2 linked regions of the Xenopus tropicalis genome follow. The protein of the gene in region 2 interacts with the protein of the main gene of each other region in a biochemical or structural test. Links are inferred from orthologs where the notes say so. Each region holds a gene or a part of one and is shown on either strand. Other genes may lie near its edges. The genes, in order: cltb and hip1r.

Region 1 (12,470 bases), on a different chromosome or scaffold from region 2:
CACCGGGAGTTTTCCTGTTATCCTGATGGGCCAGTCCGACACTGTCCATGTGGATTTTGAGGGTTTACATAGTGTACCCCTCCTTCACCTTTTGGGTCAGTATAAAATATAAATTGAAGAATAAAAATATTTAGACAATAACAAAGCTAAATCTCTTTTGGGGGAAATCAAATCCCATACTTGCATTTTGTCTTATTCCTTTAATTTAACAGGACATTGAAAGCTATTTTACTAACATGGAATTGTGGGAAATAAGCTTTTCTCGATACAACTTTTTTTCTACTTTAAAAATATAACATTGTCCAAAATCTGGATTTTTTTTTTGTTTTTTATTAGTGTTCAAGAAAACATACAGGTAAACATGGTACACATATTGGTAAACATATTGTATCATCTTATACAATATAGAGAGATCTTCACAAAATATGGATCTTAAATAAACTAGTTCCCTGGAAAAGAATTTGAAATTTGATATTGTTACATTATTTTTTTCTTTTAGTGGCTCATCTCAGAAACAAATAGAGAAAGCTAAGCATTATCTCCAATCACTTGCCATTGTTGTCACTGTCAATCACTAGGCCTGTAGCAAATGGGCAGTCATTTGTCATATATCCCATAGGTATCACACTTACTATTATCTTGCAACAGCGCCAGCATGTGCCTCCATCCTAAGAACTCTGAAGACTAAAAGAAGCTTCAACAAGAGACGCTGCTGCCATGCTGGATTCTGTTTCCTGGGGCAGTGGGGTGATAGCATGGCCTGTCATTTTGAGTTCAGTGTTCAGTTCCGTTAAATGGCTGTGTGGGACTATTTTCACACAGTCACAGTCAGTCCCACTTACAGTACAGCTTTTTGTTTACACAGCTACAATAAAGTGCAAAACCTCTAAATAGTTCTTATGTTTAAATTTCCAATTTTTCCCATGTTACATTTTTCTCCCATTTGTGAAAGTTTTTCAAACAAATCGATTTTCCCCACAATTTGGAGCCTGGGTAGGCACACACTTCCTGGTTCAGCATGGCACACATGTCCTATGACACAGCCTGTGCTAATGTTTCTGGACCCGGAATCTTTGCTGCCTACCTCTAACCCTTGCCTGAATTCAACTTTGGTTGCAAAGCTTGTGGGAACTAATCTACTACACACTCCTGCCACTCCTCTTCAGAGCCAGCCCAGTCACAGGTTCTTTTTCGCTTGTGGGAGGTGTAGGAGAGGCTATTCTTCTTCATCGGCTACAACTTCCAATAAGGAGTGTGTGTGTGTGTGTGTGATCACAGTGCAAACTATTGAAAATTCCTGCAATTTTTTTTCCAAATCTTTCACTAATAACCTTTTTTTTTACTGATCATAAAAAGAGACATTTAGTCCATGGCCTTTTCCTTATTGTAGAGGAGGAGTTATTTATTTTAACAAGCCCAACTTCGGCGATCGCACCGCTGCGTATGCCATCCCACCGACGATTTACATTCTTGCTGGTGGGATGGCATATCGGGGAGACTAATCTCCCCGTGTGCCACAGCCCTTATTGTAGAGGACACAAATATAAGACTATTCTCGATACGTCACACACTATCAGCAATTTACCTACCAGTTAGTAGTTATAAAAGTCTTGAGAAGAATAACTAGTGCAGGCAGACTTATTGGCATTTTATTGATGTGACACAGAGTAAGCAGACAACATTAATCAATTAATAGCACATTGGGGTTGTTTACATTCCTATTACAACACATTTCTCATTATGGATTTCATAAATTAAGCGAGAGATTGAGGGAAACAAGGACAGACCTACCAAAATCTTTACACCCCCAAAAACCCAGTAAATAATATACAGATACATCATTTATGTACTGAATGGAATCATCATGAAACTACTGAAAGCAAATATCTGTGTTGGTCTCCATTTATGTGCTATTTAATAACAGGGTGCTTAATAAATGCTCACAGTTTGCATATATTTACTTGTTTACACAAATAAGCATTTTATTTTAGATTATACTGATTATAACAAGATTATATTGCCTCCCTTCGCATTTTCCTAAGACAGATCACTGTAAGTAATGTTTTACAGTAATCCCAATGTTATGCTATGGCAAGTCATTTCCTGGAGATTTGTTGCCAGAGCAGATTTAACTGCAGGCAACAAATATGTGCCATGGCCCAATTCCCTTGATTCTTTTTGGAGTATATTTAAAGTACACTTGTATTTTTCAAAATCCTTGACGGTAACTCAGTAGATTTGAAGCAAGTCTGGATTTCTTTACCAGTTTCATTGGCTTAGTCTGGTCTACAGTGTCAGGCATCTACCTCTACAATGGGGCAACACATATTTATTCACAAAGCTAAGAAAAAATTAACTTGCCGACCCCTAGATAAATAGTCCCATGACAGTGCCTGCGTCCCTGATTTTCTGGGTTCATTCCCGCATTTGTGGTCAAACATTTATTCAGGAGCCCCTCCATTCCCTTAATAACATAGGTACAGAAAAATATAAAGTGAAAAGCCATCTTGCTATACACACAGGACAAATACAAGTTCACAACAAATTTATAAAAGTACTCCATTATGATCATGAGAACAGAATGTGGCTTTAAATGAATTCTGAGAGATGCGTTGCGGTGGGCTTCCTGTGTTATTGCTCTATTGTATGGAAAAGGATGTTGTATTATATTATGAAAGACACAAAAATAATTACAACTACACTACAGCAATAAATTATTTCTATCACCAATCTTATCTTTATTTTAGAATGCAATACTTAGACATAATAAAAACATCCCACCCCCTGTCATTTAAAACACAACACTCAGGTGAATAAGCAATACAAACAGAATACGCTTACCAAACACTGATGCAAAATGCCCCATTTGTAGAGTCTTTTGAAATTATTAACAGTCCAAACTTATTTATTAACTGTTCCAGATCCCCTAAATTTGAACATGGTATCTTATGGAAGAGGCCTTATTATTTCTAGAAACTGTTTAATGACTTATTGATGATGGAATTTAAATGGTTGGTAGTGCTTGATGAGTACAGATTTTAAACAGCATGCAAACCCTAAAATTTTCCTAGCATGTATAAGTTGTGCACTTTTCTCCCACCTGAACTGCATCATTTGTACTGCATATATCCCCTCAGTTCACCAGCACCATTGCATTTTCCTTAAACAAATAGCAGCATTCAACTGGCAGCCATTTTCCCTCTGACACATCATCAGTGACATTTACTTCTGCAAACAGCACATGTGCACAAAATTCAGTGTAAATTTAATAAAAAAAATGCAGGCTTACACAGGCAGAACTTACTTTAATAAAAAGCCCTGCTTGGATTGAGCATTGTAATGCTTAAACTGAGCTCAGGACAGGAGGTTAGGAAAAAAAAATAGAAGCAGAAAGCTAGAGAAGAGTTTCTATGAAAACCAGCAACACTATTTCTTCATTGGCGGCTAGATTGGAGAGCGTGTTTAGTAATGTTTAAAACTGAGCATGCTCAGTAGCCTACAGCCAAACTAAATTCCTGAGAGAGGAGCCGAGTGGGTTACAGGGGGAAGCTGCAACCTTACTATTAACCTTTAAACAACCAGAGTAGCAGGTATTAAAAGATGTTAAAGAGACTGTTCACTGTATACATTTTTTGTGTGGGGTTTACATGTCATTTAAAGGGGATGTAAAGTCATTTTTAAAATGCGTGTATAGATTTTTAACACTAAATTAAACAATTTTGCATTATATGTCTGTTAAAACGTTCGTACCTACTTTGAGATACAAGCGATCGTTCCTGCAGCTTTCTCTACTCTCCCTTGATTGTGATCCCCCTTGAAGTTCAACACCCACTGACCGTCCTACTCCCTGGTGTTCTTAGGGGCAGCAGTTCCTCACCAAGTATATATATGTGAGGGTAAGGCCACCCTTGACCCCTATAAGTAGTTATGAGCAGTTAAGCTTCGGAGGGGCAGCCCATAAATCACTTAAGAGCTGGACAGCAAGCCGCTGCTTAACTTCAAGAGGGAACGTGATCAAGGGAGAGGAGAGAAAGCTGCAGAAACGATCACTTGTATCTCAAAACAGTACAAAGCTTTTAAACAGACATATTAACATATAACATAACAAAGTTGTTTAATTTAGTGCCAATAATCTATATATGCACTTTACACCCCCTTTAATCGTTATGGCTTACTGCCTACAACCAGTCCTTGTATTTTGACTTGCCAATCTCAGGGAAAGTTTAGTGTCTCTTGTTATTGATGATTGAAACTGTACATAACGAATCTATTGCTGGCGGTTAAGACATAATGGCTACAAAAATGATTGAACCTGTGTTGCTGGAAAAAGCTTAAAGGTGCAAGTACATATGTGTAGAATCCTCTGCTATGAAATGAACCTTCTTAACATGCAATCTCTACCTGTCAAGACACCTATGGGATGATTTACACTTTATACACTAGTTTCATCTTCATTCAGGCAACCCCTGTTGTGCTGTATACACCACTAAAAACAAGCAACCTTTTCAGGTTCTCAGGGAAAACTTAAGGTTCTCTAGGTACTCTAACCTAAGATTCTTATTCAACATATGCCTTTTTTTATATGAAAACAACCTAAAATAAGGACATTTTGGAACTAGTTTCTATTTTAGTAGATTTCTGCACTGTGGGGAAAAATAAACGGCCTGTTCAACAGTAGGTGTAATATACTGTTAATTGCCCTGGGCCTTCAAGGTATGGTTTCTTTGGTATCATGTAAAGCAGGGGAGTGAGGCGTAAAGGAGAGGCAAAGCTAGCGTGATAGAGGTGTCTGCTTTAAGGAGATTAAGACTGATCGTAGGCGAGATACATCTTTTGACTGTTTGCTGCTCTTAGGATTGAAGTCACAAAGGCGGGCAACTCTCTCCCATTCTGTGCCAGTTTCTTCTTCCTTTGTATCTGATGCCATGGCTTCATCCGATGCTCTGTTTAAAGAGAAATTTGAAGAGAAGTCAGCAAAACCATAATCACTGGAAAACATTGGGTCTGCTTTATGTTACATCTCTTGTTGCAATACTGTAAATGCACAGAACTAGCTGGTAGCATTAGCATACCCATTGTTTAAATAACCTTAAATACTAGGATCACAACACAAACTGGGCACAAGGAAACAGGTACATAAGTCATAATACAATAAAACTTTATTATCCTGTGCAATAAAGCAGACAGGAATTGGCAGGAACTTGCCAAGTGGTTTTGGGTGTGTTTAAAAGAAATATTGAAAACATGTTAAAAATTCATCATAAATTGTTATATAGAAAATACAAATTCCCTAAAATTTTGAATCTAAAATGAAATTTAAGTTCCCCTTTAATGATCATTTAACATATAATCCCATGAAAAAAAACATGCTGAAAAAAAGGAACATACACGTAACCAATAACTTCAGCGTTAGGCTGCTGGTAAAATGCTTTGTCCGCAATCCTTGGTTATCAGCATGCAAAACAGGACAAAAAGGAGAGAGAAAGAGGAAGACATTGGGTACAGGAGAGAAGAGACTGAGTTAGATGTCAAGAAGTAACGTTAGCAACAAGAAGAGGGAAAAACAGTGCAAAGTTACAGGTTCTGATGCTGTGTTATAATAGAAACAGACTGAAGGAAAGTAACAGCAACTTTGCGCAGGCCTAGTGTATCATCCCTTACCATGTTCTCCTTTCCTAAAACCCAGTCTACTGTCACTACTTGTCCCCCTTGTGGTGCATTTTAAAGGAAGCAACAATGTGGGGTAATGGATTACAAAACCTGATTTGCCATTGGATTCTATCAGCTCACATCTTTATTCAGTTTAATATGCTGTCTGACACTGTACAGTACAGGGCCTGTATTACATATAGTTGTGCCAGTACAGCCTGTAATAATACATAATCACAGATCCTCTGCTCTTATGATGTTGCATTGACAACCTACAGTATAACCACTTCTTCCACATCTCCTTCTCCAATGCCAGATATATATAATCATATACAAAGTTTATATTTAGTAAATACAGGCTGCACATTACTCCAGGCCAGGACACTTCTTTCCAGCTATAAGCACTGATACTTTACCTGTTTGATACTTTGTTTTTCTCTATCTGTTCACTTTGTCTCTGATACCACTCATCTAAATCTTTTTTGGCTTTTTCTCGCCACTCCTGCTCCGTTACTTTTGAGGCTGCATCTGTAAGGTACAAACAAGAGGTTATAATATTTCCAATACCTCTTCCAACGTTTTCTTTTACAGCTTTCTCTCTTTCATCTTGTCTATCATTCTTTGATCTTTATAAATACCATGATTAATCTGTATATGATTTTCCAGAGGCTGAAGTATAATGGCACCAGCTAGTCCACATATTTCTGTTTATTATTATTATATTATTATTATTATTATTAGTCGGAAATCGACCCTTCTTTTCCCTCTATCACAGTTGCTTGAAAGCATCAGTACAAGTGCTTGTCAGCTGACATGCAACAAACTGAGCAAGGTACTATGTGCACTGAATTCTAAACTAAATATAGCACTTACCCAGCTCCTCTAAGCGTGTTTTCTGCTCCTCTCTCCATTTCCTTAGGCTTTCTGGCTCCTGGGTCAATCGATCAGCCTGTGCTATTGCTGCATATCCATCAGAATAATCAGAAGTCTCCTGGCAATGGAAAGACATAAAAACATGTTAAAAATGTAGCTAAAGTGAGCAAACCTGGAGCCTGGACCTAGAGGTTTAAATATAGCCCCACAGGCCTGGGTGCAAAATTCCCCCAGCTGCAAACTTAGGGCCACAATTGGCTCAGTACCAAACTTTACAATGCGGCAGATGGGCTTCAAGCTACTTTGCTTTAAGTTATATAAAGTGAAGTGTGTTAAAGCTTCATCCTAGCACTGAGTGATTATTAGTGGATATGTACAGTATAACAACATAAAGAGAGAAAGTTGCTAAAGATGTCTTTACATAACACAAAGTATTTGTAGAGGGATAATTAGTAAATAATACCATATTATTAGAGTTAGGATCACACACGTACAATGTCCTGCTCACTTGTGCCACAGCAGCATTCAGTATCCGAGAAACATATATTTTATTGGAAAACCAAACTACTATTAGAATTAAAATTGCACACTATATCATTTACACACTAAGTGATGATGCTTGGGGAATCACCCAATGATATCTCTCACATTCCACTAACCTAGACATCTTCCTTTGGCGATAAACTCACCTGGTAAAGTTCTCCATTCATTGGGATGGTCCCAAAGTCATTGAAATCCACTGCAAGCACAAAAAAATGGAGTTTAATGGAATGGTAACTAAAACAAAATAAAAAGGTTTGTGCTTGCTATTAAAATAACATGGTAATATGGTAAACATTTTGGACATTTGAGGTTTCAGATGAAAATCAGAGCCTTTAACATGACACATTTATATCACATGACTGACAAATATTTTGAGGTACATTTTTTATTTGCTGTATTGTGCATATTACAAGTATCTTGCCCCAGCACTGGAAACATGCTGAGTATGCCTGACACTTGCATTGCTCAAAAAGTGTTCCTTGCAAACCTGGGCATCTGCATTGTCTAGTGATACTTTCCAACTGGCACCCGTTTCTGCTATAGGTGGCGCATTCCCTGTTCAAGTGAATGAGAAGCAGTAGCAGGGGGACAAGACCATTTTGATAGTTGATAGTTCTTCCTGACAGGACTGAAGTGATTAATTCAACCCACAAGTGATGGACTGAAAACTGTCTGAGCAGTGTGGGAAATAAAGAGAATTTTATGGAAAAAAAAATTAATGTATTAATCATTCGAGGGCACAGCTATTGAATACCATGCATCAAGCATAACATTATGCATTCATCTCTTATGATACATAAATGGCTTACTGTGCCTTTGTGATTTATGCAGTGAAGGACACACCAGGTATAAGTATAGATACTAAATATAAAATCAACACTTGCTCATTCCAAACAAATCTCACTCTACCGTAAGCTAATTTGCTGCATTACCATAAATAAAGCCTCTTTAAAAGAAAGCTATTTTTCCTACAGCTTCTGTGCCAGCTAAGTAACACATTTACACAAAAAGTGATGCTTGGTGAATTACCCACTGATATCCTTCCATGTAAACACAGTATCCCTGTATATTTTACAATTCAGTCCTGGAGAGTCGGCACTGAACAATTTATTGTCTATGGCACTAGAAGTTTAAAACCTTATACTGTATTAAAATGATTCTAAGGTAAAATTATTGTATCAAAAGGTATATCCCAAAATGGTGGTTATGTTTAATACAAATGTTTAATTGCATATCTTTTAATTTCCCTATGAGCAAACAGCCAAAAATAACTCATGAGCTTTATGGTGCACTACCTAGCCTTTAGTGAGCTGGAAATGCTTAGTGATGCTTTATAAAAAAAATGATTATCAGTCTAGACTCTCTAGGGTGTCATTATCTCCATGTTTACTTATTAACAGCTTGGTTACAAAACTCTTTGGTGACATAATATTTTTTTTTGTTTTTGTATATTGTGTATATATGTGTTAATTGTGTCCAGCACTCACTTTTGAAAGGTGGAACGCTGCAGGAGAATCTGAATGAAGCAGGTAGAGAGATCCGCACTCACAGGTCTTATGAAGAAATACCGAAATTTTACTGAGGGAGACTGATGTTTTGTCTAGCTTCTCAACGTGAAAATTACACAGCAAATGACTATTAAGCACAAAATGGCGGAAAAAGGTAAAGATGACAGCATAGCTTATCCGTAGTACGAGACCAAACCAAAAATATTGTTCAAATAAAACAAAAGTTTAGATGAATGAGCCTTCATAGAAGATAAAAAATGAAATACAACACGGTACAGATACACAGAAAAATATCCACAATCCAAACAAGCAGATATTAATCTGTGCTACCACCAAGGTGATTTGGAATACTGGAAAAGTAATACATGCAATGCCCTGAGGATCAAGATAGTAAAGTGTTAGCATATGTGCTGCAAAGATTCTTAAATGTAGTTGACAATAAACCACACAGCACTCCTGTGAATATAAGTACTAACCAGCTCTGTTGCTGTGGTGTGTTCAGGAGATGTGTCAGACCTCATACACGTAGCACAAACCACATAGTTGAGTTACATAAGGAAAATGAATGAGCACTAGATGGCGCTAGAGTGACAGTTCACAAGATACTCCGCATACACCACTGATGGGCAAAAGTAGTCACTGACCATATATGAAAAGGTGAAATTATTTTTTAATTTAAAATATTAGTTTTTATTAAACATCTGATAGTATAGAAATAAGACCACATGTGGATAGCACCAAAGGTATTGCTGGAGATAAATGTAGACTCTGCCTTGAAAGGCAGTTATGTACAGTAACATCTTTATTCCATGTAGAACAATCACAAATACACCTAGTAACATATTGATATATGGGTCAAAGGCTTACTATTTCCAGGGCGGATTAGTGGCATTGCTTATTGGACTACAAAACATACCCACTACTGGTAGCCATGAGATTAGATTATTTCATCAATCTGCTCCATCCCCTTCTATTATCTTAAGCAATGCCACTAATCAGCTTTGAGAATAGTCACCCATATATCAATATGTTACTAGGTTAGGGTCATAAAGTCGCTAAAAAATTTGGGTCATGTCTAAAATCCAGGTAGCAGCTACTTCTGTTTATATATATAGATATTAGAAGGAAACTGAAATATGTAATAAAAGGGTTTAACCCAGCGGTTCTCAACCTGTGGGTCAGGACCTCTGTAGGGGTCGAATGACACTTTCACAGGGGTCGCCTAACACCATCGGAAAACACATATTTCCAATGGTCTTAGGAATAATTTTATAGTTGGGGGTCACCCCAACATGAGGAACTGTATTAAAGGGTCACGGCATTAGGAAGGTTGAGAACCACTGGTTTAACCGCTCCTGCAGATCAAAGGGCATTTGTGTTTCCAAGACAATTTCCTTCAAGGTCTTTTCTACTCAGAGATTAATCAGTGACTAGGGGGCCTATATATAAAGAGAGACAATGTTGTTACCTATTCCTTATAATAGCAGGCAGCTGAGGTTAGCAATGCGGAATGTCACACCTTCTCTCATTCATTTTGTAGCTCCACTGTGACAACACACAGCTAATGGTGGAAAAAATGGCATCAGTGATCAGTGCAATTCCTTAGTATTTATTCTGTGTGGTAACTGCAGCTATCAGAAAGAACAATCAGAGACAATCAGGCTATAAATGTTACAAATTTGTATAGTCCTATTTGTAAATGTTAAAATATATATTCTTAAATATCAGTGGCTGGTTTTTTTTTTTTTTAATTCAAATTTTTTTAAACATGGTTTTCTTACTATAGAGGCCAATCCCCATTCTTAGAGAAAGAATATACAGTATTATGCATGGATGCTTGTAAAATTAATAACATTGTAAAATTCCAGGTTCAGTCTGCAAAATATGTCCAGCAACACGTCACTTGCTTTTTAGGAGGCTAAGGGCTCTGGCACACGGGGAGATTAGTCGCCCGCGACAAATCTCCCTGTTCGCGGGCGACTAATCTCCCCGAGTTGCCTTCACCTGCCATCCCACAGGCGACAATGTAAGTCGCCGGTGGGATGGCACACGCGGCGGCACGATTTCGCACAAATTGGCCAAAAAGCCTTGCGAGTCTTTTTCGGCGATATTGCAAAATATGGCCAGCAACACGTCACTTGCTTTTTTTTCGGCGATATTGCAAAATATGTCCAGCAACACGTCACTTGCTTTTTAGGAGGCTAAGGGCTCTGGCACACGGGGAGATTAGTTGCCCGCGACAAATCTCCCTGTTCGCGGGCGACTAATCTCCCCGAGTTGCCTTCACCTGCCATCCCACCGGCGACAATGTAAGTCGCCGGTGGGATGGCACACGCGGCGGCACGATTTCGGGAAATCGCCGAAAAAGACTCGCAAGGATTTTTGGCCAATTTGTGCGAAATCGCGCCGCCGCGTGTGCTATCCCACCGGCGACTTACATTGTCGCCGGTGGGATGGCAGGTGAAGGCAACTCGGGGAGATTAGTCGCCCGCGAACAGGGAGTTTTGTTGCGGGCGACTAGTGCTGGGCGGTATACCGGTAAAAACCGATCACCGGTTTTTTTTTTGAAACCGATATGAATTTTCTACATACCGGTGTGCTGAATACTTCCGGGTGCGCACGTGACGTCAGCGCGCACGTGACGTCAGCGCGCACGTGACGTCAGCGCGCACGTGACGTCAGCGCGCACACTCTACAAAAGCGCCATCGCTAGGACGCATTCAGAGTCGGATACCAATGTGAGCTGTCGGGGGGTGCCTGGCCAGTAATTATATTTTATGTGAAGGGGATGGGGTTGTGTTTGGGGGGGGTGGGGTGGGGGGTTATATTTATGTGAAGGGGATGGGGGGGTGTTTGGGGTGGGGGTGGGTGGGTTATACTTATGTGAAGGGGATGGGGTTGTGTTTGGGGGGGGGTGGGGGGTTATATTTATGTGAAGGGGATGGGGGGGTGTTTGGGGTGGGGTGGGGGGGGTGTGTGCGGATGGGGGGGTGTTTGGGGTGGGGGGGGTGCGTGCGGATGGGGGGGTGGGGGGGTTGCGTGCGGATGGGGGGGTGGGGGGGCTGCGTGCGGATGGGGGGGTGTTTGGGGTGGGGGGGGTGCGTGCGGATGGGGGGGTGGGGGGGTTGCGTGCGGATGGGGGGGTGCGTGCGGATGGGGGGGTGGGGGGGCTGCGTGCGGATGGGGGGGTGTTTGGGGTGGTCACCTAATCATGCATGGGGAAAAAAAAATACCGTCAAATACCGTGATACCGATATAATTTTGAAAAATACCGTGATATAAATTTTTGGTCATACCGCCCAGCACTACGGGCGACTAATCTCCCCGTGTGCCAGAGCCCTAAAGGTGGCCAAATAAGTCTATCTTTCTCTAATATGCCCACCTGGGCAATACTGGGTTGATCCAATTGTTTGGCAAAAGGGGCAATTATTCAGTTTATTCAAGCAGGGATGTCACTGATTGTATTCAGCCCAATCTGGATAAAAAGATGAATGTTAAGATGTGAGTTGTTTGCAGGGGGTGATCAGGGTGATAAACCTCTACTGGAGTCCCCTGAGCAAACAATGCAGCTGTCAAGACATTGGAGTGATGTTAAAATCAATGGCAATGTGAATTATAGTGTGGCGAAAAAAATCCACACATGAATGGCTAGCATCTATCATGGACATATGTGCATCTGGGATAACTCTAATCTTATGGGATAACAATATTCCTCAATAAAAAAACAGAAACTGCCAACCAGAGTACTAAAAAACTGGAGATGCAGGCCAAGGCGATGGTAGGCTTGAATGCAGAGGTGGAGCAGGAGATATTATTTTTAAGTAGACAAGCGTCAGCCTTAGGGATGGCATCCCATTTGTCTCTGTGTGTTTGGTATGTGGGGTAAAGGGTGTCCAA
Region 2 (12,470 bases):
GAGCAGGAGTATGGAGCCCACTTACCTCTCTGTTTTGCATGTCTCCCAGCCAGAACCCCTAGTCTCCCCCAAAAGACAGGTTTTCATCTAAAAGACCGTTCTCTCTGAGAGATAGATAGCCCTGGGGGTGCGCGATCCCACATTGGGGGTTAACTGTTCCTCCCTCAATTCTAGCCCTGGGTGTCAGTGCTACTTTTTGACCAAGGGGCTCCTTGTGGTGGGTCTCACTGGTTCAGCCTCCTGTGGACAGGACACTTGAAAAACTAATCCAAAAAAGTAAGTCCTAGGTGTAAAGCTGGAGTAGTCCTGGCACACCATCTTTGATCTGTCTATCAAGTGTCCTTCCCCAGAGACATCAGAGAAAAAGAATTTAAATTTCATCTTTAATTTGCAAAATACTTTACTTATACAGCTTTTTATATGTGGGTGACAGGTCCCCTTTAATAGCTTTTCTAAAGACTGAAGAGTCATATATTTTTATTTATTTATTTTGTTTGCAAAACGCACCTCTCGTTTACTTCAAGTTTAACACCTGAGCTGTCTTTTCTAGCCTGGTTCATCATTTCCTGTTGTAGCATTGAAAAGAAAAAGTCAATATTTACAGCATAGGTGAGGTACATGAATGTGCTAAAAGCTATCGGTTAGTCTGTATAGGTATATTGTTGCAATTCATAAGGGGCCATTTACAAATGTAATGCTGATGCTGATGCTGGGTGCGAAAGAAAACCTGGAACTAACGTCTGATCAGGCTGTAACTCCAGGGTTCCTTTCGCACAGGCGCAAACAGTTGGACTTCTGCGTGCACGCATTGTGTTAATCTTCCTAAATTGGAGGCAATTACAGCAGATGCAGTGCAACTAAATTAGGCACAATGTGCAATACCCCCTTGCAACAACAATGACTTTGGAATACTAGGATAAAACTCAATGCACCCTAGGCTATATTGGATTATAATATCTAAATAAACACTGATGTGTCAGATACAGGTGAACGCCACTGTACAGCACTGTATACTAACACAGCTGTAGTGTGTTTCTGCTCCACCAGAAAAACTACATTTAAATATTATCAAACAGATACACACAAAACATTAAAATGAGATGTTGTCTGTATTTAGGAAATGCATGAGTGATTTACAAAACAGGTTCACTACTGGTTATGGATCTTTATTGGTAATGTATCTCTAGATTTGTTAGGCTGCACAAACAAAAAACCTCAATCAACATATTTGAGGAAGCTTTTTTTTTTTTTATTTGATCAAGCACTACCAGAAACTAACCTCAATCCGTCGCACAGCAGCTTCTATAGCAGCAGAGGTTGAGGCCATTTCTTTGTCCACCATGTCACCCAGTTCTTCCTGCTTGATATCCAGACTCTTAGGCCTCAATTCCTGTTAAAAAGAAACTTCAACACTATCTATCTATGTAGGTGAAATGCCTACACCGTGCTGGGCCCCCTGCAAAAAAAATCTTTGGAGGAGCCCGGTGCATTCTGCAACCCCTAAGGCAGAAGTGCGCCCAGGGAGGGGGATTTCACTACAACTGGAGAGAAAAAAAAAAAAAAAAAAGACTCTGTGGTTCGGGTACCCCTGCCACCCCCCAGTCTACATCACTGTGTTAGGTGCCCAACAGCAATGTCACCCACATATCTCAGAAGAGATATTCTATCTTAACAACAAATATATATTTTGACCTCAAAGACATAGAAGAGATAACATAAGAAACAATGGGCAATTTCTAATGTCTTATAACAGCAAGACTACAACAAACATGCAGCACAGTCAGGGTGTTTATTAAGTAGTCTACCTGTCCCAGATCAAAGATTCTCTTCAGCGATCTGTTGACTTCTGCAAGGTCTGCATTTTTTAGGGAATGTTTATTCTTTAGGCTACTTAGATAGTCCAAGCTTTGGTTTCCACACTCTTTGCAGCTGTCATTTAGCCCTGAAATTGATAGTGACAAATAAATACTGAATGCATTTCTAAAATTGATAAGGAATACTGTAAGGGGTTCAGAAAAGTAAGGGTGGCCACATGAGTGACCAAGTCATCCAATAAGAATATTTCTGAAAAATGTCCTACATGCAGACCTGTCAGACATCTCTGCAGATGTTTATCAACACCAAATGATGAGTGACTGGTGACCATCAATTCGTTTATTTACATTTTTTGGTCTAATAAGTTTTACTTACGATCAGCATGATCAGGTGGAGCCAAATGCGAAGTTGCACTGCCATTTACAATAGTGTCTGCAGTTAAGTGTGCAAACTGGGCAAGTGCTCCCACTAAGTCAGAGGCATCTTTATTAAAAACAAAATAAAAAGAAATTAAGTTTAACACTGCTAAACCATACATATCAGTATATTTAAACCGGTGTTACATTTACCCCAAACAAAGAAACTGGCAAGAAAACACACAAAATTAACAAATGGACATTTTACCCTGCCTGCCAGCTGGTATATCCACAAAATTGGATTGGGCACTGCTAGGGTTGCAGCCTCACCACTTTAATACCAGCCACATATTGAATCCACATCCTACATGGTTAACTTAGATGCCTGCTGCAGACTGAACTGATTTATGTGCAGCATGCATGTAAATTAACTGCTAACTAGCCATGCAGGATGTGGATTCAATATGTGGGTGGTATTAAAGCGGTGAGGTAGCAACCCTAGGCACTGCTGTGTTACACAGAACTAGGGTTGCCACCTCACCCCTTTATAACTGCCCACATCCTGCCTAGGTAATTAGCAATTACTTCAGATGCATACTATATGGCTGCACATAAATCAGTTCAGTCTGCAGCATGCACCAAAGTTAACTGCTAATTAGCCAAGTAAATATTTGGCTGAATTAAAGGAACAGTAACACTAAAAAATAAAAATGTTTTAAAATAATTAAAATATAATGTACTGTTGCCCTGCACTGGTAAAAGTTGTGTGTTTGCTTCAGAAAGACTACTATAGTTAATAGAAATAGCTGCTGTGTAGCCATGGGGGCAGCCATTTAAATTGAAAAAAGGAGAAAAGGCACAGGTTACTAAGCAGATAACAGATAAGTAGCAGATTCCCATTGTATTCTACACAGTTATCTGTTATCTTCTTATGTAACCTGTGCCTTTTCTCCTTTTTTCAATTTAAATGGCTGCCCCCATGGCTACACAGCAGGGTATTTATATAAACTGTAGTAGTGTTTAAGAAGCAAACACACAACTTTTACCAGTGCAGGGCAATAGTACAAAATATATTAATTATTTTTATACACTTTCATTTTTTGGTGTTACTGTTCCTTTAAAGGGTTGAGGTGGCCACTCTACACAGAACCCAGAAATATATAGTCTGTCACCTGGCACTCTAGTGTTAGTAATGCTGATTCTACCTTGTTGACAGGTAAATGATGAAGCATATTAACTGATCACCAATACTGTGACATGATACTGGTGGGATGTTGATTAGATGGCACCGAACACATTTACTGAGGTAGAAAGCAACAGGGCATGGAAAGGATCAGCCACTGCAATGTCCTCAGAAAAAAAAACATGGTAATCAAGTTACCCTTAAATGTTGGAGGCTGCATCAAAAATTGTTGGATTGAGGTGAGGGGGAGGAATAATGGAGCAGTCATACAACTTTTGCAATTTGGTGTCCTCCATCCTAGGAGAACAAGCTAAAATGGTGGCAAAGTGGCCTGAGAAAAAAAAAATGGCCGTTTTTTTTTTTTTACATAAGAATATTACTGGTTTGAGGAAAATGATTTCATTCAATAGGGGGGTTTCCTAACAAGCTGGCACCCCTTTCCCAGAGTAAACTCTGTCGCCCACAGGAAACCTGCGCAATCCATGAGCGACAAATAGCTTGTCATGTGAAACGCTGGCAGTAGAACATATGCTGGAAATGGCTTTCTCTTGCATTTGCCAGCGTATGAAACTCACCTGTCATGTTTTGTATATACTTAGCGTGTCCATTTTCAAGGTGAGGGATAGAATCCAATGCAGCTTGTGCTCTGCAGACAAGGTAATCTGCAAAAGCAAAAATAATGAAGCTTTATTCAGTGGCAAAGGGCAGCAACCAAATTTAAGTCAGGCTTTTAATTATTTCGACTTATTTTATTATTTGGTTAATAATTTAAATAAAACTTTAAAAATTTAAAAATAACTCAATTAACTCAATAGCGGCAGGTGCACTTTAACTCCAAGTGCCTTAGCTTCACAGAGATCTGCTGTATGGTTTACATTTCTGGAAGCGGATTCAGTTTAAGTATTTGTAACTGGTTATTTTTATGATGAGGGGCTAGAAACAAAATATTGAAACATTCTTGTAACTGTAAAACAATTTTTCTTAATAACAAAAAATTACTTAGTAAGATGAATGATCCCAATTAAATATTATGCACCATCCAGTAATTGTACTTTAGAAACTGGTTCTAGAAGACTGCACACAAAAAAACAAAAGCAAAAGCATGGAGCCCATTTGTGCATTATAAATGGGGAAATGTTTAGCATATCAAGTATTTAAAATACTTTTTAAATAAACTTTAAAGTAGATTGCACAGTAGTTCAAATATTCACATAAAAAGAACAAATTTAAGTTTGCTTTAAAATATGTACCTGGAGAACTGGTGCAGCGAATGTGCAAGGGGTCATCAAGTTTGGCAACAGCATCCTGAATAATATTCTCTGCTTCTCTCACGGTTCCCTGAATAATGTTAAACTGATCCTCTAACATCTTCTGATAAAGCTTCTGTTCATCAGTAGTCTTTCACAGCAACAATAAAAAAACAAATACAATTAAAACTACAAAACAAGTTACAGTTAAAAAAAGAATCTGAGCCATGAAAACTGGCAAAGTACAGTTGTGTACCCTTGGTGAAATTACATGACTTTCCAAGTGAAAATAAGTTAAAAAACTCTGCAGGTAACAAAAGTAAACATTGTTTTTGTTTAAGTTTCTTTATGTTTGCGAATAGTATGTGCAAAAGTTTAGGCACCTTTCCAGGTTTAGGCACCTTTCTAGTGTTACTGTTTAAGAAGATCACAGTAATTATATGGCTAAAACTTAAAGGAACAGTAACACCAAAAAATAAAAGTGTTTTAAAGTCATTCAAATTTAATGTACTATTGTCCTGCACTGGTAACACTGGTGTGTTTGCTTCAGAAACCCTACTATAGTTTATATAAATATGCTGTGTAGCCATGGGGGCAGGCATTCAAGATGGAAAAAAGGAGAAAAGGCACAGGTTACGTAGCAGATAACAGATAAAACACCATTGTATTCTTCAGGGTTTAGCTGTTATCTGCTATATAACCTGTGTCTTTTCTTCTTTTGAATGGCTGTCCCCATAGCTACACAGCACGGTTTATATATAAACTATAGTAGTCTTTCTAAAGCAAACACACAACTTTTAACAGTGCAGGGCAGCAGTACATAATAGATTAGTTACTTTGATACATTTTAATTTTTTAGTGTTACTGTTTCTTTAAAGGAGAAGAAAAGTGCAGCCATTTGGCACCACAAGTGATTTACAATCACTTGCCTAATACCCTGGGCCATTGCTCCTGTTAGAGGAAAACTGCACAGGCCCAAAGTTTTATAGTGAGCAACACAAAGCCATCCTCGTCTTCCTTCTTCAGTCCCCTGAGGCTGACACATGCACAGCCAGATTTTTTGTTAAAGTTTGGATTTTCACTGTATTGCACATATTTTAGGATAATGTTGCCTAAACAGGGAGAGCCATTTCTTGTTGGGCTTGTGGAGGCCCAAGCCTTCCATAAGCTGGAGTAATACAGTTTCCAGCCTATGGAAAGATCATACTGTGCTCTCTCTCTCGGTATATGTGGCAGTACAGAAGCTCTTTAACAAAATCAACAGTGCAGCGCTGCATTAATAGTAATAACATGTTCCATACAGTTTATATGTAAGGCCAAAAATCCAAACATTTTCTAATTGCTTGCAACAAAACACTTCAATTTCCAATAAAAACCCATTAGAAATTATCTACTTTTATGCCACCAAATGCTTTCTTGTTTTTTCCTAACTCCTTCATTATTATTCACAGAAATGCAAAATGTTACTGTTTATAAGTTTGTTCCCTACAGAGTTTATGCTAACCTCTTAGCAAATATGCATGTACTTTGACCAGGGGTGCCAAAACTTAACAAAATGCTTTTCTGTTTGTGACAAAAATTCAAACCTTTTGCAAAATCCCACCTAGAGAAAATAATTTGTGAAATTGCAGTCATTTGCAACGTTAATATACAAGCTTGGAGACTGGCTAGAAGCCACACACAGCATACAAAAAATTATAAGGAACACTATGGGCCAGGAGTTCAATGATTATCACACTATGATAGAGCACCTTTAGTTACTAGATGGCATTTCATTAGAAAAATATATTTTTTATTGAAATGTATTATATTGCTCTGTAACCAACATTAAATATAATGCCTAGCATTTATAACTAGAAGCCCATATAAGGTTTTTAAAATCATACATATTGCTCAGTACTGATGCAGCTCTTACTTTAGTTGGGAACGGAAATGTAATTCTACATAAACAGTATAATATGTTTTCAAATTCAGACACCTTTTTGTTGAGTTTTTCGTGCAAGTCTCTTATTTCACTGGCTTTCTTTTCTTGCTCTTGATTGAATAAAGTCTCTGTATCTCGAGCCAGGTTTTGAGCAGAAGACAGTTCCGATTCCTTAGTGGTCAACAAACTTTTTAGAGTGTCCTTCTCCACTTCTAGTGACATTAATGTTGAGTTAAGCTGGGATTTAGACTGAAAAATGTTCAGAAATGCAGTGTTAAATGTATGCATATAAAGATAAGCCATTAATAAGTTTAAAAGAGAAAAATGTAGGTAAGCTATGCATGCAATGCTCCGGTCACAGAATTTAGTAATTTCTGACTAAACTGTTATGACCCGTGGTCCATGTTAGAGTCTTATCCCCAAAAACTTTGATATTAGATATGTGACAAAACTGCACAATATTCAGTCACGTTATACAAACCAAAATGTTAAAAGCTGGCTAGTAACATGAAAAACAATATATATGTAAATATACATGTAAAATAAATGTGGTAATTAGTGATGTGAGGGTTGGCTCAAAACCCACAGGTTCAGGCTAAACAATTGCCCTGCAGCGTGTTGCAGACAGGCTGCAATCCTCAATTACTGCTATCCCAGCACCTCCTACCTTCCAAGCTGTCCCAACCCACTATTGTCAGTGTTGAAACTGCATGCCACTGTTATTTATATATATATATGCACGCCCGCCAAATGTTCCCTCTAAGCTGTGTGCTTGTGAGTGCACACACAAAGTTTGAGACCAGCACACAAAAATTGTGGTGCGAAAACACAATTTTGTATACTGCGCACTGTTTTTTTACAGTGCACATGCAGCATTTAAAAAGTGTGCAAAAAATAAATTTCTTCAAACATAGCCAAGAAGAAATTAGAGGGATCCTTAATGCCTGCCTTACCCCCTTTAATGATAGATAATGGATGGGTCAGGTGCGGGTATATATCATTGCAGCGCATTGGGCCAGGATGGTTTTAGGTTGGATGAGGGTGGGGTTAAGGTCAGCAGGAATAGTACTTTAAGGAATAGCCCCTTTGTAACACCAGTGTGCCTTGTTCAACACTTTCAGTACCATCAGCAACTTGATTCTTTTTATTACCCTTTCCTCATTATCCTGTGGCCTACCTGCCTTTCTTATCGCCTCCTGTCTTTTAGACTTCCTCAATTTGTTATGCTAAGCTTTTCTTTTGCCATATTTTAAAATATTGTTCGATTTAAAAGTGGAGTAAATGTGATACCTTTATTGACTAACTAATATGATATTTACAGCAAACCTTCTTCAAAGCTGATTAACTGAAATGTTCTGAAAGCTTGCTGTGATTATCATATTAGTTATTCGATAAAGAACCTTTATGCCACTTGTTATGTTTCATACCAAAAGTTGCACTTGAAAGAATTATAACGGGCTAACATGGTAAAAATCATTTACCTGAAACTTTATTATTATTTATTTCATAAACTTTTTATTTAAGGTTGCAGATTAGCATGTAGATTTTCACATAAAAACACAGGATAACAGCAACTTGATGAGAACTAATTAGACTACTATTAAAGCTATGGTTTTATTGAAATTGTCCTCAATTGCACACTCCACTTAAGCGAGATAACAGCACAAGGTGTGTGGATCAACCTATGCAAAACTGGCAGGTTTTAAGTTTTCCAGTTGATTTGCAAAATCCTTCTTATAATTACTATTAGCAAATCATATATCAATAACCATTGTCTTTTGTAACCACAGTGATACACACTACCTACCTCCTCAGTACTTGATAGAGATTGCTGGATAAGTAATAACTCTTTTTTCTTTGCTTCAATTTCTGATTTCAGTTGTTCAGTCTGAAAACTTTGGTCCTCCAACTGGATTTAAAAACAGGCAAATGAAAGAAAACATTATCTGCATGATTATTTGTTTCTCGAAATCTGGCAGAAAATATGTGCATTGCACTTAATATACGAGATGAATAAGGACCGGTTTTAACCGATCTATGTAATTAGAAAGAAAAGAGCTTTTATTGGCTCGTGTATGGACACCTTTTGGTTAGAAATGTTACACTTTTTTTGATTTAGGCTTCTGTACCAGTTCATAGCCACCACAGCCATTTAGCAATGTAAATAGGAAAATGAGGTATTTTTCTAAAATGTAAAACATAGGCAGAATGTAATTTCAAGTCCTATACAGGTATTGGACCCCTTATCCGGAAACCCATTATCCAGAAATTCCGAATTACAGAAAGGCCATCTCCCATAGACTGCATTTTAATCAAATAATTCACATTTTTAAAATGATTTCATTTTTCTCTGTAATAATAAAAAAGAACCTTGTACTTGATCCCAACTAAGATATAATTAATCCTTATTGGAGGCAAAACAATTCTATTGGGTTTAATTACTGTTTAAATAATGGTTTTAGCCGACTTTACTTCGGAGATCCGAAGTACGGAAAGACCCCTTATCCGGAAAACCCCAGGTCCCAAAGCATTTTGGAAAATGGGTCCCATACCTGTATATAGTGCTCATTTTTACAAAGGTGTTTTAGGTGTATGCTTGGGTTACAAAGCTGGTTGCCTTCTATGTATTTGTTCTGTAATAAACGTTCAAGAGTATATATCTAAGATAGCTTAAATCACATTATTAACTAGAAAGCCACTTTAAATAACCTTCAAATCTGATTCTCGTTTCACTTGATCCATCTGAAATTCCAGCTCTTCTTTGATACGTGCCACCTCTTCCTGATTTTGTTGTGACACTGTTAACTGTTTTGCTGTATCAGCATTCTGTACAAAAAAAAAAATAAAATAAAAGATGGAAGCTTGTTTTGAAGTCCTTTAACAATAAAGTAAATGTTTATACTCCTTACATACATTAATGTTAAATTAACTTTACACCACCTTTTCAAATATCCACAATTTATTTAAATAAGTGAAATAAATAGGATCAATGCAGTGTTAATGCTCATGATTAGCTCAAGTGTTTGCATTCAGTTGTGTAATTCACAGCTCTATAGGATAAAAAGGCAATTTACTAATGTTGACCATCAAATTCACCCAGTTTTCAGTGGAAATTTAGTAAAACACTTCAGGGAGTTACAATGACTAAAAACATAATTATAAGGAATAAATAAATCCTATTTACACAATGATAATCAGGCAAATGAGAATTAAACAGATTAAAATGTATTAAAACATTTCTGAAGGAGTAGTTACAACTCAGTAAGCAATTTATTTTTATAACCAACAGAAAACTTTTCAAACAAGCATCAGTTGTGCCTTTTTGGAGTTTTTAATCAAATTACATTAATAAATAAAAATTATCTTTGTTATTTCCAAATTCACAAGTTACAAAAGGAGACAAAGAACAAATCTGATATAAAATAAAATTAGCTACCTTTCTAAGAAGTCCAGCGTGGGTATTAATGAGCTCATTGTGCTTTTCTTTCAGTTTGGTATAGCGTAACTCTGTGGCTTGTATCTTCTCTACCAAAACACAATTGAATGTATAATTTAGAAGTTCTGCATATTTTTAAAAAAAACCTGCCCACAATTGGCACACACATATTTAGTTCTTTATACATTTCAGTTAAAGAACACCTAAAGGTGGCCATACACGCTAAGATCTGCTCGCTTGGCGAGGTTACCAAGCGACCAGATCTTTTACCGATATCCCCACCTACAGGTGGGCGATATGGGGTTGATTTGGTCGTTTGGTCCTAGAACCAACGGGTATAGGCACCTGTTGGTTTGGGGACCACATCAACGAGCCAATGCGGTCCCCGAACCAAAATCAAACCTGCTCAATCGAGATCTGGCTGATTCGATTGAAGGAACCAATAACGGCCGCTAGAATCGACCCATGTATGGTCACCCTTAGCCGAATACCTACTCTCTGCTTCCAGGAGGACCCCTTGTGTTTTCTCATTTTCCAGTTTCTGTTTCTTTAGCTTCTCCAACTCATCCCGCAACTGTTCATTATCTACTAAAGCCTTTTGTTTCTGCTTCCTCTGTTCCTCTAGCTCAGCCTCCAATGTGTTGATTTGTCCTTTTAGTTGCAAGATGTACTTTTGTGCCTAATGAACATAAAAAAGAAAAGTTTGCTAAGATAAACATTTTTAGTATCTTAAATAAAATGCACATTTTATGGAGACAATTATCAAGCACAGCAAAAGACATGTGCCTTACAAAGTAAGGATACTGTACATAGGCACTGCATACCAAGCTTATTGAAGCTTATACTTAAAGGAACAGTAACACCAAAAAAATAAAAGTGTTTTAAAGTAATTAAAATATAATGTACCGTTGCCCTGCGCTGGTAAAACTGGTAAGTTTGCAACAGAAATGCTACTATAGTTTATATAAATGAGCTGCTATGTCAACACGGGGGCAGCCATTGAAGCTGGGAAAAAGGAGAAAAGGCACAGGCACATATCAGATAACAGATAAGCTTTGTAGAATATAATGGGGTTTATCTGTTATCTGCTAAGTAACCTGTGCCTTTTCTCCTGTAAATGGCTGCCCCCGTGGCTACACAGAAGCTTTATTATATAAACTATAGTAGTCTTTCTAAGGAAAACACACCAGTTGTACCAGTGCAGGGCAGCATTACATTATATAGTAATTACTTTTATACACTTTCATTTTTTGGTGTTACTGTCCCTTTAAGAAAAGCAAAATAAAAATATATCCGTTGTAGTATTGTTGTTGTTGTAGTATTATAATTATATCTCTATGAGCTAAAAAGTACTGAACAATTTACTAATATTCTAATTCTAGCATTAGCATACTAATTAAAGGATAGTCTCACCTCCAGCTTTATTTTCTCTAGTTCAGCACGTAGTAATTCTATTTCCTTTTGCAGATTTTCAATTTGAAGATCCCTAAACATAATAAAGAGATTATTGCAATACACAAAGAAAGCACAAAATAAAAATCCATTTTACAACAAGGAAAATTATGCAAACACAGCCAACTAGGTCCTTAATATGCAATATATGTAATAAAGAGAAGGAGAAGTCATTTAAAAACTTATAGGGCAGTGCTGACTTTTTCTACACAATAAGCCAACTATCTAATATGCAATATATTGCAGACCAGACTAAAATAAGGTTATACTATAAAAAAGTCTGTTGGGGTATAAAAATGCCTTGAACGGTCATATCCAGAACACAGGCTTCCAGCTGGACTGATGTAGGGCAACACAGCTGAAAATATGAAAAATATGAAGTATAATATTTAAATCAGGCTAAACAGTTCTATCCTAAAAAAAAAAAAAAAGAATAAACAAGCAGATTACGCCAGCGTGTAAATCTTTTTCCACTATGAAATGTTTAATTATAATTGTAACTTTTTAAAAATGCTAGTGTTATCTCTTGTATTTTTGATTAATTAATTTACATTAATTTAACAGTTATAACCCCTTGTATCAAAATGATAAACACTGTAAAATGTAAAAGATTTTTTTTTTACCTGTCATCTTTCATAAGACCATTAGGAGCACCAAAGGTTTGCTGAAATAAGTCTTCCACAACCTAACAGAAAGAAAAAAAACTGCAGTATATTGCAACGGTCAACGTGCCAAAGGTCAAAATCTGGTAATATAATATGATATAATTTAATCAGATATCAAAACTAAAGGTAAAAAGTTAAATTGTGCCGTACAATTTTTGTTTTTGTCTCCATTTTTATATATCAGTGTTTTGACCCTCATTGGGGTCTTTATCAAGAGGGTTATAAAAGATCAAAATGAAGTTTTAAAAGTTCTTTTGCAAAGTCCCTTGAGCGCAACAGCTTCTTTTTGAAATACAGTTTGTGTTGGCACCAGGGCTGTTTCCCCTTTTAAGGTGTGTGCAGCTGTCCCACATCTACTGTCATACGGTCCTGCTCCGCTATATACTCGTCAT

Evidence for each region.
Region 1: the proteins of hip1r (region 2) and cltb form a complex in vitro, tested with the Homo sapiens proteins (2 studies listed by BioGRID). The link is inferred for Xenopus tropicalis from reciprocal best matches to the Homo sapiens genes HIP1R and CLTB.

The regions. Positions count from the first base shown.
Region 1 is NC_030679.2:47,561,084-47,573,553, reverse strand, and holds the end of cltb (clathrin light chain B), read right to left. Parts: intron 7,262-12,470; coding exon 7,212-7,261; intron 6,641-7,211; coding exon 6,523-6,640; intron 6,178-6,522; coding exon 6,066-6,177; intron 5,443-6,065; coding exon of another isoform or gene 5,389-5,442; intron 4,944-5,388; coding exon 4,772-4,943; 3' UTR 2,722-4,771; downstream 1-2,721. UniProt on the Homo sapiens protein: Clathrin is the major protein of the polyhedral coat of coated pits and vesicles.
Region 2 is NC_030677.2:161,473,468-161,485,937, forward strand, and holds part of hip1r (huntingtin-interacting protein 1-related protein), read right to left. Parts: intron 12,099-12,470; coding exon 12,037-12,098; intron 11,448-12,036; coding exon 11,375-11,447; intron 10,641-11,374; coding exon 10,457-10,640; intron 10,051-10,456; coding exon 9,962-10,050; intron 9,352-9,961; coding exon 9,235-9,351; intron 8,435-9,234; coding exon 8,333-8,434; intron 6,775-8,332; coding exon 6,580-6,774; intron 4,753-6,579; coding exon 4,605-4,752; intron 4,017-4,604; coding exon 3,930-4,016; intron 2,299-3,929; coding exon 2,191-2,298; intron 1,943-2,190; coding exon 1,806-1,942; intron 1,391-1,805; coding exon 1,280-1,390; intron 567-1,279; coding exon 508-566; intron 1-507. UniProt on the Homo sapiens protein: Component of clathrin-coated pits and vesicles, that may link the endocytic machinery to the actin cytoskeleton. Binds 3-phosphoinositides (via ENTH domain).